Cricetulus griseus: one gene and its partners. The protein of the gene in region 3 purifies or fractionates together with the protein of the main gene of each other region. This does not show direct contact. Links are inferred from orthologs where the notes say so. Each region holds a gene or a part of one and is shown on either strand. Other genes may lie near its edges. The genes, in order: Ppp2cb, Ppp2r3c, Cep43, Cep78 and Cep350.

What was found.
Region 1: the proteins of Cep43 (region 3) and Ppp2cb purify together in Homo sapiens (affinity purification with mass spectrometry; 4 studies listed by BioGRID and IntAct, counting the BioPlex papers as one, with this or other methods). This does not show direct contact. The link is inferred for Cricetulus griseus from reciprocal best matches to the Homo sapiens genes CEP43 and PPP2CB.
Region 2: the proteins of Cep43 (region 3) and Ppp2r3c purify together in Homo sapiens (affinity purification with mass spectrometry; 3 studies listed by BioGRID and IntAct, counting the BioPlex papers as one, with this or other methods). This does not show direct contact. The link is inferred for Cricetulus griseus from reciprocal best matches to the Homo sapiens genes CEP43 and PPP2R3C.
Region 4: the proteins of Cep43 (region 3) and Cep78 purify together in Homo sapiens (affinity purification with mass spectrometry; 3 studies listed by BioGRID and IntAct, with this or other methods). This does not show direct contact. The link is inferred for Cricetulus griseus from reciprocal best matches to the Homo sapiens genes CEP43 and CEP78.
Region 5: the proteins of Cep43 (region 3) and Cep350 purify together in Homo sapiens (affinity purification with mass spectrometry; 6 studies listed by BioGRID and IntAct, counting the BioPlex papers as one, with this or other methods). This does not show direct contact. The link is inferred for Cricetulus griseus from reciprocal best matches to the Homo sapiens genes CEP43 and CEP350.

The regions. Positions count from the first base shown.
Region 1 is NW_023276807.1:51,178,246-51,181,763, reverse strand, and holds part of Ppp2cb (serine/threonine-protein phosphatase 2A catalytic subunit beta isoform), read left to right. Parts: intron 1-1,646; coding exon 1,647-1,856; intron 1,857-3,050; coding exon 3,051-3,224; intron 3,225-3,518.
Region 2 is NC_048598.1:147,145,984-147,149,501, reverse strand, and holds part of Ppp2r3c (serine/threonine-protein phosphatase 2A regulatory subunit B'' subunit gamma), read right to left. Parts: intron 3,476-3,518; coding exon 3,378-3,475; intron 2,304-3,377; coding exon 2,233-2,303; intron 1-2,232. UniProt on the Homo sapiens protein: May regulate MCM3AP phosphorylation through phosphatase recruitment. May act as a negative regulator of ABCB1 expression and function through the dephosphorylation of ABCB1 by TFPI2/PPP2R3C complex.
Region 3 is NC_048595.1:292,382,355-292,385,872, forward strand, and holds part of Cep43 (centrosomal protein 43), read right to left. Parts: intron 3,128-3,518; coding exon 2,898-3,127; intron 2,046-2,897; coding exon 1,933-2,045; intron 405-1,932; coding exon 336-404; intron 1-335. UniProt on the Homo sapiens protein: Required for anchoring microtubules to the centrosomes. Required for ciliation.
Region 4 is NC_048596.1:45,104,711-45,108,228, reverse strand, and holds part of Cep78 (centrosomal protein of 78 kDa), read right to left. Parts: intron 850-3,518; coding exon 714-849; intron 359-713; coding exon 313-358; intron 1-312. UniProt on the Homo sapiens protein: Centriole wall protein that localizes to mature centrioles and regulates centriole and cilia biogenesis. Involved in centrosome duplication: required for efficient PLK4 centrosomal localization and PLK4-induced overduplication of centrioles.
Region 5 is NC_048598.1:35,890,358-35,893,875, forward strand, and holds part of Cep350 (centrosome-associated protein 350), read left to right. Parts: intron 1-296; coding exon 297-379; intron 380-1,405; coding exon 1,406-3,393; intron 3,394-3,518. UniProt on the Homo sapiens protein: Plays an essential role in centriole growth by stabilizing a procentriolar seed composed of at least, SASS6 and CPAP. Required for anchoring microtubules to the centrosomes and for the integrity of the microtubule network.

The DNA of each region.
Region 1 (3,518 bases), on a different chromosome or scaffold from region 3:
ATGGGGGTAGGGATGTGCCTCAGTAGGGAAGCACTTGTCTAGAATAGTAACCAGCGAGGAGGCGGCAGCTGGGTGTAACCAATTGGTTTAGGTCAGACTGAGGGTACAGTAACTTGGCTATTTTACAGTGTTTTGTTTTTGTTGTTGTTGTTAAATTTCCATTTATTTGTTGGAAGGTGCATGCCACAGCATTAATGTAAAGGTGTGAGGAGAGCTTTCTCCTGCTGCTTAAGTCCAGAGCATCAAGTCATCTTCAGGCTTGTGGAGGCAAGTGCTTGGACAAGCCTTACTGCAATTTTGGCTTTGAGACAGTATCCTAAGGCAGTACTCTGGATTACTACAGTAGAACATAGAGTTTCTAGAAAGCAAATGTGGAGTTAATGGTCTTTATAGAAAATTGAACCATGTAAGCCAGACAGCCCTTTAGAATTGGAGGCAGGGGACTCAGAAGGGAGTTTAAGGTGAGTTTAGTGTAGCTGGCATTGTTTTTACTCATCATTTACTAGTCCATCATTTACTAGTCTGTCTGGTTGACAGTTGTGTCCCAGGAGTGACTAAGCTCTTGAAAGGCCTCTTTCCCAGTCTTACTCAGTCTTACTGCACTGTGCTAGGCTCTCTTGCTTCCTGTGCTTAGCATCCCTGCACTAATGCTTGGGCTTGTCTCGCCTGACATAGCTTTAAGTACTTCTTTCTGTGCTGGGCAGCAGTGATTTGGTGACAGCAAGATGATTTTTCAGGCTATAGAAAGTACTATAGTTACCATCAGATCTGATGGCTTCTTGCATTGTACTCAATAACGGTTTTGCTTCATTTTGTTTTTAAGCTTTTTTTTTTTTTTTCTTTTAATTAAACAGATCCCATGGTTTTGTGACTTGACTTTTTCACTCTGGATGTAAGGATAAGTGAAGTCATAATACCACATGATCATTTGTTTCTGGCTTCTTTGACTTAAAAGCATAGTATTTTCAAAATAACAGCACATAGCAGTGCATTATTTTTCTTTTAATGGTTGGTTATCACTCTCAATCTGGTTGGGTATCCTATGCTATGTCAACTCATGACTTAGTGGGCATTACTTTGTACTTTTTTGACTACTAACGGTTGCTGCACCTCCAGAGGAACTGGGTTCATTTCCAGTGCTTGTGTCAGATGTCTCACAACCACCTGTAACTCCAGCTCCAAGGGATCTGATGCTCCCCTCTGCTTTCCAGACACAAAAAGTAAAAATACATCTTTTAAGTAAAAGAGTAATGTTGCCATGAATAATTGAATTATTATTACCTTACCTAAGGATTTCAAGTTGTCTGCATCTTTGTAGACGTGTCATTGCCAGTCTTTGCTATTATAGCCATAAGTCGGGGTGTCTCTTTGTGTGCTTTGGGGGGGGGGGTTCGTTTGGTTTTCCAAGGCAGGGTTTCTCTTTGTAACTCTGGCTGTACTGGAACTCGCTCTTGAGTTACAGAGATCTACCTGCTTCTGCGTCCTGAGTGCTGAGAGTAAAGGTGTGCACTGCCAGGTCGGGTTATTTTATTTTTACAAGGCATACTTCCAAGTGGTTTTCCCCCTGGATTTTCTTTCAGTAAGTAAGAAATGCTGTTAAATGTGTAACTGAATCTTTTTAATTGTTGATTTTCCTTTTCCAACAGGCTAAGGAAATTTTAACAAAAGAATCAAATGTACAAGAGGTTCGCTGTCCTGTTACTGTTTGTGGAGATGTGCATGGCCAATTCCATGACCTTATGGAACTCTTCAGAATTGGTGGAAAATCACCAGATACCAACTATCTATTCATGGGTGACTACGTAGACAGAGGTTATTATTCTGTGGAGACTGTGACTCTTCTTGTAGCATTAAAGGTATGATTAGTGAAAATGGGTAAGGGGTAAGCTTCACATTAGGCCAAAAGCAAGAATGGTAGTGCTGCATGTATCTCAGCTTAAATAACCATTGGCTTTACATCTTTTTTTTAAGATTTATTTATTATGTATACAGTGTTCTGCCTGCAAGCATACATGCACACCAGAAGAGGCACCAGATCTCATTAGAGATGGCTTGTGAGCCACCCTGAGGTTGCTGGGAATTGAACTCAGGACCTCTGGAAGAACAGCCAGTGCTCTTAACCTCTGAGCCATCTCTCCAGCCTGGCTTTACATCTTTTAAAGGGAGATAAAAATTAGCTGGGTGGTGGTAGTTCACACCTTTAATCCCAGCACTCGGGGGCAGAGGCAAGTAGATCTCTGTGAATTCGAGGCCAGTCTGGTCTACAGAACGAGTTCCAGGACAGCTAGGGCTGTTACACAGAGAAACCCTGTCTCAAAAAACAGAGAGAGAGAGAGAGAGAGAGAGAGAGAGAGAGAGAGAGAGAGAGAGGTTAATGCATTAAACTTGTATCTACTTCTGATAAATGTGTAACATTTGCATTGTTCATAACTGAACTCTGAATTATATTTAATTACTTACTACTCGTCATATGGAACCATTAAGCAATTCTGTAATTTATGCCATGAAAGGTCCATTGTTCTTGCCTTCCTATTTTTACTGCCCTACACTCACCACTTCACACTGCCAGATGAGAGATCTCCTCGTTTAGCTTCTGTGTGTTCTGTCTTCTTTAATTCCTTACAGTCAGTAGAGCTGAACTCTTGCTCTCCTTTTAGTCTGGTCTGAATTGACCTACTTGCAGTTCATAGCAAAAACTTCCCACCTCAAAGAATATTTTTATTCTTTGCTCTAGGCCATCTAGTTCTTTCTTGATCCAGTTTCCCCACAAGATTACTCTAGCTACTTCCTATTTGTGCCTCCTGCCCCAGCTCAACAAATGCTTGGGATTTTTGGATCTTGGGAAATTGACATAATTCATAATGAGATGAGGGGACCCATCTAAGCATAAAATCCACTTGTCTCATATATAGTTTACATACCTGTCCTTAATGCTAACAGTTAATTTACAAATGGACAAAAGAACTACTTAAAGAAATGACTTTGATGTTAAAACTAACACAATACTGGTGAGATACGATTATACCACGTTTCTTTTCCTTTTCTTTCAGGTGCGCTATCCAGAGCGTATTACAATATTGAGAGGAAATCATGAAAGCCGGCAGATCACCCAAGTCTATGGCTTTTATGATGAATGTCTACGAAAGTATGGAAATGCCAACGTATGGAAATACTTTACAGATCTCTTTGATTATCTTCCACTTACAGCTTTAGTAGATGGACAGGTGTGTAAGTGTGTGTAACTATGTCTTACAGAAGGTGGTTAAACATGGGAAAATACTTTCTATCAGGAACTCAGGATCTGTATTTACAAGATACAAGTTTCTGGCTTTGTTTAATACAATGCTGGGGATTAAACCTGGGGGCTTGGTGTCTGGTGCATGCTAGCAAGTGCCCTGCCATTGAGCCACAGACCCATGGTTTGGTTAGTCTGTTGATGTTGGTTTTTTAGGGGGGGTTGTATATGTGTGTTTTGGAGACAATCCACTAAGCTACCCAGGCTTAGACTCAGTGTACCC
Region 2 (3,518 bases), on a different chromosome or scaffold from region 3:
AAAATGTGTACTAATCTATTTTTAGCTTTCAGCGGGTATTTTTAGGGTGGCGGTGGTGAAATAAGGTCTCACTAAGTATCGCAGGCTGGCCTCAAACTTGTGAGTAATCTCCTGCCTCAGCCTCTTAATTCCTGAGTTTAAAAAGTGTAAGCTATCATGCCCAGCTTCATTTCTAGCTTCTACTATGGTCACCATTCATCTTGGCCACTATCACTTTTCCCTCACAAGACTACAATAGACAGTTGCCCATTATCTCTACCTCCATTCTGTGCTCTTCTAATCTTCCATAATACATCCAGAGTGACCTTTAAAACTAGAAACCATGGGACAGGCAAGATGGTTTAGTGGGTAAAGGCGCTTACAGCCAAGCCTGAGGACCTGGACTCAATGCCCAGGTCCCACATGATAGAGAGAGAGACAACTCTTGCAAGTTGTTCTCTGACCTCCACATACTCACACACAAAACAAACAAAAAAAGCAAAGCAAAACAAAACCAAAACCCAAACCACACTCTGACAACTCACTGGAACATATCCTGGCTTCTTTTGACTCTCAAAATAAACCCTGAACTCTTCACTATAGTCTAAACGACTCACAAATGTGGTCATTATGTACTTCTCTGACTTCTTCTGCTATTCTAGCTTTTGTTCTAAACACACCAGCTTCCATTCCTACAGAGACAGGCAGAGGTAAGAGTGCTTTCCAGTAGTGATGGTCTGTACCTTAAAGGACAAGAACTATACTCTGCCCCTGGGAGGGACAAAGTGATGATCTTAAGTAACTCATTAGCTTATTGATATTTATGCCCAACAGGCCTTCTTCCTTAAGTTCTAAAAGACAACTCCATATTGGAGAATAAAATATAAGCCCAAAAGAAATATAGCCACACAATTTAGATAACTGCCAAAATTACCTAAGTAGCATAGCCATTTGAGCCATGAGGTTTTAATCCTGTTCATAACCAGGCCTAATGACACAAATACCTATAGGAAATAAATACCCTCTTGGTAACTCTTCAGGTCCCTCTAAACCTATGGGTAAAAGCAAAGCCCTATTAGCTTTCCCCTATATTCTATAAGAAAGAAACTTTTTGGTCTTTATCATAGTAATAAAATAATGCACACATGAGAATAACCAAGCTGGTGAGATGAGATGGCTCTGCAGGTAGAGTGCTTGCTGTGCAAGCCTAAAGACCTGAGTTGGAGCCCTAAAATCCATGGAAAGTGGGGAAGAGAGAACCAGCTCCATGAAGTTTTCCTTCAGTCTCCACATGTGTTCTGTGGCACATGTTAGCCCTACCCCATCTCTCTCTAGCCCTTAGAGAGGCTGGCTAGTGAGATGGCTCAGCAGTTAGGCACTTGCTTTGCAAGTGTGAGGACTGGAGCTCAGATCCCAGAACCTATGTAAATGACAGTGGGCACGGTAGTCCACCTGTAACATCAGCCTTGGATGACTGACCCAGGATTCTCCAGAGCAAGCTACAAACTAGTCATGTGGTGAGCTCTGGTTTAATTCAGAGTCTGGCTCAATGAACAGGAAGGAAAGAGTGGTGGAAGATGATCCCTGATCAACCTCAGGCCTCCACGTCTGCCTGCACACAAGCCAAACATGCACCATTCACAAAAACATTCCAAACTTTTTTCTTCAGTAATTGTTCTCTCTCTCCCCTCTCTCTCCTTCCTTCCCCACCCCTCCCCCCCTTCTGATTTCGGAGACAAGGTCTCACTACATAGTCCTAACCAGGTTGGCCAAGTGGTCCTTGTATCCTGGCCTCCTAAGCTAGGATTAGTGGTATCTGGCACCATACCCCACTCTCATCAATCATTTTTAAACCTGTTTAGATAAGTTCTATTTATTTATTGACAATGTTTTGCTATTATATAGCATAGGCTGGCCTGGAATCAATCATATGTGGAGCTTCAGCTACCTCTGAACTCCCAACAATCCTCCTGCCTCAGCCTCTAAAGTGCTTGAATTAGAAGTATGTGTTATGATGCTCAGCTTCCTTTTCCTTTCAAAAAGATCAAAAGATATTTTTAAAAGGCTAGAAAAAAAGAACTACAGATCAATATATGTGGTCAATATATACAAAATTTAACATGTTTACAGAGGTAAAATCAGCAAACTAAAGCTATGACGCAAAAATTTACCTGTAAGTACAACTAACTTAGTGATGATTAATGTTAATATTTTGGTGTTTATAATGTTTATTAAATTTAGATCAATACTCACTGATTCCCGAAGGTACCCTTGCCCAGCAACATCATATAAACTGAGTCCAATTCTTGTCTGATGCAGCCAAACTGACAATAAACAAGAAATTACATGTAAATGCTAAGATCTGTTCTTTAAAACATATAATAAAAAAGTAAGACACTAGACTAGAAGTGCAGGCTAATTCTGAAACTCCATAAAGCTATTTTCACATACATTAAGTAACTCCCCAAGCCATTTAAACCAAAAGAAAAAAGCCACGAAATAGCAGATTTCAACGATTCTGCCATGATTACTACAGTAAAACTGATGCCCTTGGGAACATTGTCTTCTGATTATTAAACCTGGTGTTCCACCCCACAGGGAGAGCTAGCACAACATTGGGTCTTCAGTGAAACTTGTGTCCTCCTGAGGTTAATTACTGCAGCCCAAATCTATTAATTAACAATGGTATACAGTAAGATTCCACAGCCCATATAGTACTAAGATTCATAACAACTCCAAAATGTTTTAATACAGGCTTCTTGAAACCAAGACTACAACTGTGAGTTTGCAGCTATCCTTTCAGACATATATATTAGTGAAATAAAATTACCAGTAAATTGAAATTATTTCAAATCACCCATTAAAAGTCTTGTTCTGCTAAGAGTGAAATCATAGTGAGGACACTGTGGCAATAGGACAGAGCTGACTGAGAAAGGCCCTTTGGGGAGAGTACATGTGACCCAGAAAAAAGAAAAAAGTGTAACTGCTTTTGATATCCCTACTCTGCCACCGTCCTTAGGGTACACAAGGCTTTTGTTTAAAATGATGAATTCAGGAGCTGGAGAGATGGCTTAGTGGTTAAGAGCACTGACTGCTCTTTCAAAGGACCCAGGTTCAATTCCCAGCACCCATATGGCAGCTAACAACTGTCTAACTCTAAGATCTGACACCCTCTCACAGACATACATACAGGTAAAACACCAATGCACATAAAATAAAAATAAAATAAAAAAATACAATAATGAATTGATTTTAATACAGATAATCCTACCTCTTTACAGTACACAGCAGAACCATAAAGCACAGGAAAAGAGCATATCATACAGGATAAGTAAGTGCAGACCAGTGCCTGCTTGATTCCCAGACAAAAGTTCAAACTCACACACACAACAAATCACCTTTTCGCATGACATAGTTGAAGAACTGCATGATGGAAATTCTCCCATATGAATCTGTATGAAGGAGTTTGGCAAAGACTTTTGCAGTAAAAAATTGCCTAAAAAAGGAAATGAAAATTAAAGTGGTCTATCAGCAGTACA
Region 3 (3,518 bases):
GCTGAACTCACAGCACCCAGAGAACAGCTCGGTTGCTGTCACCACTTCACCCATGTTCACTGAAACCTTTGTTATACAGCTCTGTCTGGATCACCAGGCCCAGCCACAGCCTCTTCCAGAGGCCTTCCTCAAAAGCCCAGTCCAGGGCCTTCCCCTACCACAGTCTGGACATGAAGACAAAGGATGGTGCAACTTGTTGCCACCGTCCCCTGGCACAGGGCTAACTCTGGATGCATACTAACTCTCCAACACCTGCTGAATGACAGCAGGACGGTTCTTCCATGTAGACCTGGAAAAGGTTTTCAACAACCACACTAAAACTGAAATACAGTTACCTAGCCCAAGTGATCCGATTTTCTCACTGACCAACTTCAGATCCTTTAGGACGGTGCTTCCTCTTTTACCTGCAGACGGGAAAGAGCACTGTGTGAAAGAATTCAGGGCAACATTCTCTAAGCCACACCAAGCATTTACACCCTAAGAGTATGAAAGCCTAGAGGTAAAATTATCAGTAGAGGCTACAATCATGTGTTATGGAGAGAAATCAGATCATACTATTCTTTATTAGAACACAACCACCAAAATAAAAATGCACACAAAACCTAGTACTGTGAACTCCAAGTGGACTACCTGAGGAAGTCCTGCTGATGCTCTGCACACCAGGTTAAATACCAGCTGACTATGACAGGGTGATATCCACATATGCTTTCCCAGGGTGAGGATGGGATGAGATGGGATGGCATAGTGCAGGAAGCTGGCTATCCTTTCACCTTGCTAGCAACCTCTCCTCTGTTCACATAAAAATGTCAGACACAAGTCCCTGATGGCAGAATGACTATGATGATCACTCTATCACAAAACTTCTTTTAAAATTTAAGTTATTTTAAGGGTTTATGAGGCATGACTTACAAGTTACAAATGTTTTCTGTCTTGGAAGGGGACAGCACCTAACACTCATCTTAGGTTGACAATACTCCTATGAAAACTCTACTGGAGATGCCTAACCTACCAGCCCAGCCCAGCCCAGTCCAGCAGTACTCGGTAGAGGCTATTTACCTTCCCCAGTGATCATGTGGCTCATCAACATGTTGATAAAACACAGAGGGATGTGCATACTGCAGCCAGGGAAAACCAAGACTAAATTTGAAGTATTATGTATGACTTCTGTGTAAAATTTAGAAATTGTATATGTATACCTACTGATGGTCTAAAGCATTTAAAAAGTCAGCTTCCGAAAACTATGTTGATAGCATAGCAAAAAAGAATACAAATGGTGGAGAATACTGACTACATTAAGAGTGGCAAAATATTGTCCATCTCATTAAAATGGAGATTTTTCTAAAACAACAACCCCCCCAAACCAAACCAAACAAACAAAACTACAACAATAAAACCCCCAATCTATATTAATTGTTATTACATATGACTGGCTAATTTTTTTTTTTTTGACCTGACACAAATAATCACTTCCTTCCTCAACTTACTTTGGGTCATGGTATTTTATCACAGCAACAAACACCACACTTATCCGAAAAAAACAAACAACAAACAACAACAACTAACCTGGTAGAGTGATATCTTGTTTATATCCTAACAAATAAAGCTTGCCTGAAGATCACGTTGGGCGCCAACATGTAGCATGAGTTCTAATAGGTCTTAATAATAAAAGCCTGGAGTCAGATACAGAGGAAAATGCTGAAAGATCAGACAGACAAGGAGCAAGTCACAGCCACCTTTACCTCGCTAACTTCCCAGCTGAAAAGAGATTGAGCTCCTGTCTCCTCCCACCTCCTCACTTCCTGCCTATCTGTACTGACCTCCAGACCTCTACGGTTATCTAGTGGCTAGCTCTGCCCTCTGATCTTCAGGCAAGCTTTATTTGTTAGAGTATAAACAAGATATCATTACAACCTGGAGTATTCAAGTACTTACTCTCAGTATCTGTTAATGAAGGGGCTCCTGCCAGGGAGCTGAGACCACTCCTGAAGGGGGGTATGTCAGAGAGTGAGGCCAGACTTCCAACGTGCTTCCTAGGTTCATTTCTCCTAACAGGAAGCAATTAATAGTTAAATGATAATTTCAGGCCTTATCACTATAGTCTTTTATTCTGTAAACATAAAAAAGCAATTTAAATATGCATCTAATGGTTGACATGAAGATTTTACAGATTGAAAACCATACAGCACACCTACAGGACAATGCAGACTGCAGACGTGCAGTTACAGATGCATAAGATTGTCAGTGAAGCACCAGCTCCCCTAAATTCCCAACTGTTTACTATCTCTCAGCCAAGTGGACCTTCAACTATCTAGGAGCTCCTTCAGAAGCCCCCTCCATCTTTTGAAACACAAAAGACAGTACAAGAATCAACAAATAAGCATTTCCTCTCAAATGCATACTGTTCAGGAAGCGCAGAGCCCTTCTAACCTTCAGAGGCTGTTTCATCACAACTTCATGCATTCCAGTCAGCTCCGTCCTAACTTCCCAGGCACTGCCATCAGTGTCTACCCTGGCCACCCCCTCCATTCCATTGACAACTCCTCCCTGGAGTCTACCACAGGGCAGCACTCCAGCAATACTGTTACCTTATTCTAAATCCCCAGGTGTTCCCTTATATTAGCAAGCATCCACACATGCACAAACTGAAACTCTGATACAGCTCCTATCACACAGTGAGTACCTGATACAGACTCATCTGGTGAAAATGGCTCATCTGGTGCCTTCAATAATTCTGGCATTATTTTATAACATACTAGGTTTTACTGACACAAAACTAGGTTTATGGATTCAATAATTATATAGTTATTAGCAAATCATTAGTTTTAAAATATAAAATGAAAGCATTTTAGATTTTATTTTTAAATCATAAGTCAGATGATCCAAAGAAGTCTACTCACCAACCATAGGTTTTTTCTGGCTTAGGAATGGGATCATCAAAGAAAGAGTCTCCTTCTGCATCATCTTCCTCCCCACAAAGAACACCTTTGTCTTTTGCATCTAAAGTGCTGCTGCTCAAGAAGGACGCGATTCGTGTCTCCTGGGCCAGGGAGTGAAGGCTGCTCTTGCTCCTTGGCTCTGATAAGGAGATACTACTGGGCTCGCTCTGACTGCTCTCGCTGTTGGTCTTCTAAGAAAGATGGAGGGAGGGAGAGGTCTCCGTGGTGATAAAACTTCTAAGATATCTTAAACAATAGTCAACATAGGTGTGTGTGTGTGTGTGTGTGTGTGTGTGTGTGCGTGCGTGTGTGTGTGTGTGTGTGTGTGTGTGCGTGCGTGTGTGTGTGTGTGCGCGCGTGTGTGTGTGTGTGCGTGTGTGTGTGCGCGTGCGTGCGTGCGCGCGTGTGAACACCTGTGCTTTCAACAGCAGGAACTACAGTGTCGTCCTATGCTTTCCCACTTCATTCCCAGGCTTCCTGACATGGACAGCTTTCCAATGGTAAAATGTTAAAGAAGATGTTTACACTATTTCTTTCCTTCTTTCTAAATGAAAATGTTTTTAGTGTGTATCCCACTTAGAA
Region 4 (3,518 bases), on a different chromosome or scaffold from region 3:
CGTGCGTGCGTGCGTGCGTGCGTGTGTGTAAAATACATATAATACTCCAAAGCAACATTGGAACATTTTTGAGTGGTCATCCCCTGGTCAAACCTATTGTAAGCATCATCTTTTTTGTAGAAATAGTATCTACAAAGGGCCTCCCAAAGTATGTGTCATATACATGTAACTGTACCATGGTAGCCAGGAATCCAGAGAGCTTTAAATACATTTATGTCAGGGAGGGAAAACCATCCTACAGAGCTCTCTATTCAGCTGACCCTACACTTCTACTCTAATCCCTTATATGTCAGAAACATGACAGATACATACCTTCAGAAGGTTAGGCATATCACGAGTTTTGAACAATGGAAAACCCCTAAAAGGATATCAACAAGTTATATTTTAATGTATACACACTACATGATTAAACTTATTTGTATTATGTACACTATCCATATAGAACCACAGCACTAAATACCTCTAAATCACCTATGAAAAAAACCTGAACAGACCAAGCAGAATGTCATTCTGACAGGTTACTTAAACATAGCTGGTTCCCGAGGATTGGTAGATACAGTCTGCTTTTTTGTCTTTCCTTAGGGCACTCCTTTGCAGAGGCTATGCGTGAGTCACCCCTTTCCACTTAAGAAATCAACAGGAGAACTCCTATGTAACAGAAGCTCCTAAATGACAGCAGTCAGGACTGAGGCACATGACAGAGAACACCTTACCTGTTTCTTCTTGCACGTTCTGCAGTGCGCCAGGGCAGGAAACCTGACGCGCCTGGTGGCAGAGGATCTGGGGCATAGCAGTCTTTACTGAGCCCGTGTTTTCTCCCATTATTCCCAGGTTTCTTTGTAGCTAACCCTATGTTCAAGGAAGACATAAAAGAAAATCAAGATGTACTAAAGGACTACAGATTACCATTCACACACTCCTAACAGAACACAAATGAATAACTGACTACGATGCCAAGGCTATTACAGTACAAGTGATTTATAAACTTTGTTTTTTGAAAACGGGTTTCTCTGTCTAATTCAGGCTACACTTGAACTTACGACCCTCCTGCCTATGACTTAACAGTGTGTGGATTACAGGAATCCCTGCCCAAAAAGGCTGAAGGTTACTGAGTGGATGTTATCCTCATTTTGATGACTTTCAGTCTTCACATGAGTATAGAACACACACACACACACACACACAAAGATGAAATGAGGAACTTACCTTAAAGTCAACACTAAGAATTAAACATGAAATACTTGTAGCAGTTAAACCCATATATTAACACATTATTAGAAGAAATCATATATTAAAGTTCACATTTTAAGTTTTTGTCTCTAATATCACTGAGAACAAATAACAAAAGTTTACTAAATCAGTTGTATTTAATCTTATCCCTAGACATCAAAAGTTTTAGACCAGTCATAATAAGATCCTGTTTTGAAAAGAACAAAAAGTAATAAAAGTAAAATAGAATGGTCGTGTATATCCCTCTGGTTTGTTGTACTAGGATGCCATCTAAAATGAAGCACATGTAGTTATATAGCACATATATTTCTTTTAAAGTCATTTTAAAAAAAAGCACACTGATTTGTGTATGTGTGCTGTGGCATGCAGGTGGGCAATTAGAGGACAACTTGCAGGAGTCAGTAATATCTTTCCACCATGTGGGTCCTGAGAATCGAACTCAGGTCTTTAGGCTTGCTGGCAATTGCCTTCCCCTGTGCTGTCTCAGTGGCCCAAGGTGGATATTTCATACAGTGTAACTAACTCACTGATAATCACCACAGTCCTGTGCCATTTTCTGCATACATCAGTGTAACTATTAAATTGCAGGAACTCAGTTCGTCCTGTGCTATTGCATTTTTTATTTTATTACTATTATTTTTTAAGGCAGCGTCTCACGCAGTCCAGGCTAACCTCAAACTTGCTGTGTAGCTGAAAATCCCCTTGAACTGATTCTCCTGCCACTACCTCACAAGTACTTCCATGTTTGTTTTTTCATACAGAACAAGCATTCCAGTCTATGGCAGTATATATACCCCATTTCTTTGATTTTTCAGAAAAACGATAACATTTTTAATTAAGACTAAAAAGGTTTGTATGTATCTTGTTAGCTGAAAAAAAAAGTAGTAAAATAAAAGTTCTTATCAACTTCTTGAACATATATTCCCACATAACTATGACACAATTAACATACAGGCTCTGTCCTTACCGAACTCTACACAGCAAGACACTGGTCAGCTGACCTCCATGTCTCCAAGTAACTGAGGCAAACAGCAACAAAGCCAAGAAATAAAATTCCTCTTACTCAGTGGCCTGTAAACTGCAACCACAGCTCCACTCTCTCCAACAATACTAACAAGCAAATTCTTGCTCTTCTAATTGTCTAATGCCTGGCTACATGCCATTCCTAAAGCCACAGCAATGCACGCATTGCATATCCTTTTCACTTCACTTTATAATGTGTATCAAAGCACCAACTGAAGTACTTTTTAGAAGACTTACTCATGACATAAACTTTAGGTAATAGCATGATACTCCAAATCCCACTTACACACAGTTTGACTGCTGAAGTATCACTGCTGTGATCGCACAGTGGGCAGACAGCCTGTACTTCCTCTTGACACAGCAAGCACTTGGCTACTGTTCAGGACACTCACTACTGCTTACTACAAATAAATTGCCTAATTCAAAGATACTTCTTTTTAAAGACAGGGTCTCATTATGTAGCTCTGACTGGCCTGGAACTATGTAATCCAGGCTGGCCACAAATTCAAGAGATTCACCTACCTCTGCCTCCTGAACACTAAAGGTGTGCACTGTCACACTGAACCCACAAACATCTTTTAATAAAACAAAAATTGCATTTCTGTCCTTTCCTTCCCCCCCACCTTCAGTTTTTTGAGACAGGGTTTCTCTGTGTAGCCCTGGCTGTCCTGGAACTCACTTTGTAGTCCAGGCTAGCCTTGAACTCATAAAGATCCGCTTGCCTCTGCCTTTATAGTAAGAACCTTTCAGTTTGTACTCAATTACAAAACTAATACATGGCTTGACTTTTAGATTAACTTGTAACACACACTAGAGAATTGTGCTGGCTAGTTTTATGTCAACTCAACACAAGCCAGAGTCATTTGGGAAGAAGAAACATCAACCGAGAAAATGGCCCCACAACAATGGCCTGTGGGTCATTTTCTTAATTAATGACTGATGGGGCTCACCTCACTGTGGCTTGTGCCACCCCTGGGCAGGATGAACAAGCCATGAGGATCAAGCCAGTATGTAGCATCCCCCATGATCCCTGCCATCAGCTACTCCCTCCATGTTTCTGCCCTGACTTCCCTGGCTGACGGACTGTGATGTTGTAAACTGACACAACCCTTTCATTCCCAAGCTTCTTTCAGTCATGGAATTTTGTCACACAAAATCATAACTAAGATAATTTTTTTTTTTTTTTTTTAAGCTGGGCATGGTGATGTTTCCCTGAAATCCCAACTACTTCAAGAGTTTGAGACAAGAAGATCATAAGTCTCGGG
Region 5 (3,518 bases), on a different chromosome or scaffold from region 3:
ATGTACTTTTTGCTCTCAGATAGCAGGAAAAAAGGAAATTGAATGGTTACAGATATAGATGAATTTGTAGGTAGAAAGGCATGGTGGTGTGACCTGGTGCCTGGTGCCCTCTACTTTTCCATTGAGTTCATCCACAGATAATGACAAGGGACAGAAACAGGCTTGGCTTTGTAAGGTGACAACTGTTTGAGATTCCTCTTAGAGATGAGGAAAGACTTGTCTAAGAATGCCTGCTTATTGTCAGGTATTGTAGTGTCTACATTATATTCATCTTATTATTACTTTTTCCACTTTAGATCTGAAACAGCAAAAAATTGGAAATCTGTAACAGAGTCAGAGCGATCCAGAGGGTCCTTGGCATCTATTGCTGAACATATTGGTATGTGCGTGAAAGAACGAAGTTGTAAAGACATAGTCTAAGTCCCACAGAATTCTACCTCTACAAAAGTGAATTTCTGGGGCTACAGAGATTGCTCAGCAATTAAGAGCATGTGATGTCTTCCCAGAAGACCCAAGTTAGGTTCCCACCACTTATCTCAGACTGGTTTTAACTGCTACTAACTCCAGCTCCAGCAGCCCTAACTGCCTCTTCTGGACTCCACAAACACCCACACACGTGGCAGACAGACAGACAAACTTTTTAATTTAGAAAGTTCACTTTCTCAATTATCATTTGAAGTTACTTGCTCTTTTACTCATTTTACTTCTCTGATGGGGTCTGGATTGTTGCTTACTCTAATTGGAAACTCTTGGGTGCAAGTCATCCTTTTACCTTAGACTCCCAAGTGCAGAGACTATTGGGAACTTTTGTCCCAGCACTCAGTTCTTTTTAAATAAGTTTTTATTGTAAAAAGTGAGGCATGAAAATCAAATAGCTGCATACTATTAACCTCTCAAATTCTTCCCTATAGTAGGATTATACATCTATTATATGATAAATGATTGTAGTCTTATTTTTCAGTTTAACTCAAAGATAACAATTAGAAAATTGCTACTGAAAACAAAAGGACACTAAACTGAGGCAAATAAAAACTGCCATTAATGATAAAGTAGAGATTTGAATAAAAAACGTAACTCCTGATTTGTTAGTTAATTATATCATACTTTATTCTTAGTTTGCCACTTTAGCCCTTAACATCATAGATATGCAGATATATAGCCTGTTTTCCCATGGCTTGAAACTATCATGTTAAACATGTTGTCATAAACTTAGTCCCTGTTACTTTATAAATTATTCCAAACTTGAAAAATTTTAATGTTGTATTTATTTGCAATATATTTTACTTTCTTAAAAGGAAAAAAAAACCCTTTTCTTAACTGAGATTTGGCTTTTATTTAAATTTTGGGTCTCAGATTTGAAAGACTGTAATTAAATAATTTTCTGTGATTTTTTTCTTTCTTTAAGATTCATTATCATGTTCTGAGAGAGCCATATCAGAAAGGTCACTGTTTACATCTGCAAAGGGAGTAGCAGTAGAAGAACACTTGCAGGCCTCATCTCCAGTTGTGTCATCGAGAAAAACAGGGTCAGAACAAGGAGACTCTCTCGAAAGTGCACCTTCATTACCTCCTCTCATGGAATCAAGGGCACCTAGTAGGATTTATGATGTGTTCGAGGCTAAGGCCGAAGACTCTAGTCAAAAATCAGAAATACAAGAACTAGAATACACAAAACTGGAGAAGAGTGAGACTGAAGATGCCTGTTCTAAGCAGTCAGGAAGATCTGAAGTCCTGCTGAGACTAGACCTGAACTCTGAAATCCTTTCAAATAAAGAACTTCCTTCAGACTCTACAAATATTCAGAACGATTTAGGTAAATCAGCCATGGAAATTTTTCATGAAGTATTGAAAGAGAATCAGTGTGATCAAAGTACAGATCACAGCCCAGACATCCAGTCAGCAAGAGAGACCCATGAGCACAAAGGCAGAGAGAAAGGGGACACAGCCTTGTCAGAACACCTTTCTGCTCCTAAAGAATCATCTTATTCTGAAGATTTTGAAGTGTCTTCTTTCAAGAAAGGGATTTCTGCTGAAGTGTCTTCTTTCAAGAAAGGGATTTCTGCTGAAGAGATTAACAAAGATGACTCTGAGGTGTCATCATCGGCGCTGAGGAAAGACTCACAGTCTTACAGAGATAAGTCACAGCCGATGAGGAGCTCTAGAAGCAGGGCCTCTGGGTTTGGTAGCGATGATGAGATCAGTGAGTGCCTAAGTGAAAAAAGCCTTTCCATTCACAGCAGTGTCCACTCTGAAAGGCTGCTGGAACTCAAGTCCCCGACTGAGCTGATGAAAAGTAAGGAGCGCAGTGACGTGGGACACGAACAGGGTATTACTGACTCCCTTTCTCTGGCTGCAGTTTCTGCTGCAGACGAGCTACTGGACTTCCACATTGGGGATAGGGTGTTAATTGGCAATGTTCAGCCAGGCACTCTTCGATTCAAAGGTGAGACTAACTTTGCTAAAGGATTTTGGGCTGGAGTAGAACTGGATAAACCTGAAGGGAATAACAATGGAACATATGATGGCATTGAATATTTTGTGTGCAAAGACAAGCATGGTATTTTCGCTCCCCCTCAAAAAATATCTCACATCCTAGAAAACTTTAACGACTATATAGACATAAATGAAGATGAAGAATCTTATTCTGATGAACATTATCAATTCTATAATCAAGAGCAGAAAGATATAAAATGTCTAAAAGACAGAGAAGACGATATAGCTGAATATTTTTGTGAGAAATCGCTAGCTAGTATGCATAGTATAGAAGCCTCAGTGGATACAGATAGAAGCCTTAACATAGAAACCGACAATAAACTCGATAATTCTGGAGGCCTAGAAGCCCATGTTCACCAACAATCTTCAGTAGATCCCCTCATTTCTTGTAAGGAGAACAAAGCCCTTGTTTCTGACATCACAGACTATGTTCCTGATGCTGCAGGTGCTACTCCAGATGACACATCTTCTGAAGAATCAAAGCTACAGCATCTTGCAGAGAAGGAAGAGAATTCATATTCCCAAGTTTCAGAAAAGCCTTCTACCCCACTTCTGGACCTGTTAACAAAAGAAAAAAACCAATTAGAAGCTCAGCTGAAGTCATCAATAAGTGAAGAAAAAAAGTCAAATCAACAACTAGAAACAGTCAGCTTACTGACAGACAGTTTACTAAAAGATTTTGTGAAAGACACAGTTAGTCAACTACAACAAATCAAAAAGTCAAGGAATGAGAAAATCCAGCTTAGCAATCAGGAGATTCTTGACCAAAAGGAAGTACTGCTCCAAGACCCACCTCAAAACATTGAGGAACAACTACCCAGTGTTCCAAGTTGCTTTTTAAGGTCTGAATTAGAAGATGAAAAAGAAGAGCTCTCTTCTCCAGACATGTGTCCCAGACCTGTGAGTATTTCATCTAGAGGAGAGTCTGATTACCTTTTACTCAGTGACTTGAGGTGGGCATTCCCCCCAACCTGCTGCTTATTAGATACAAATTGCTATGTTGTTAAAGGACTTGTAGCTATTCT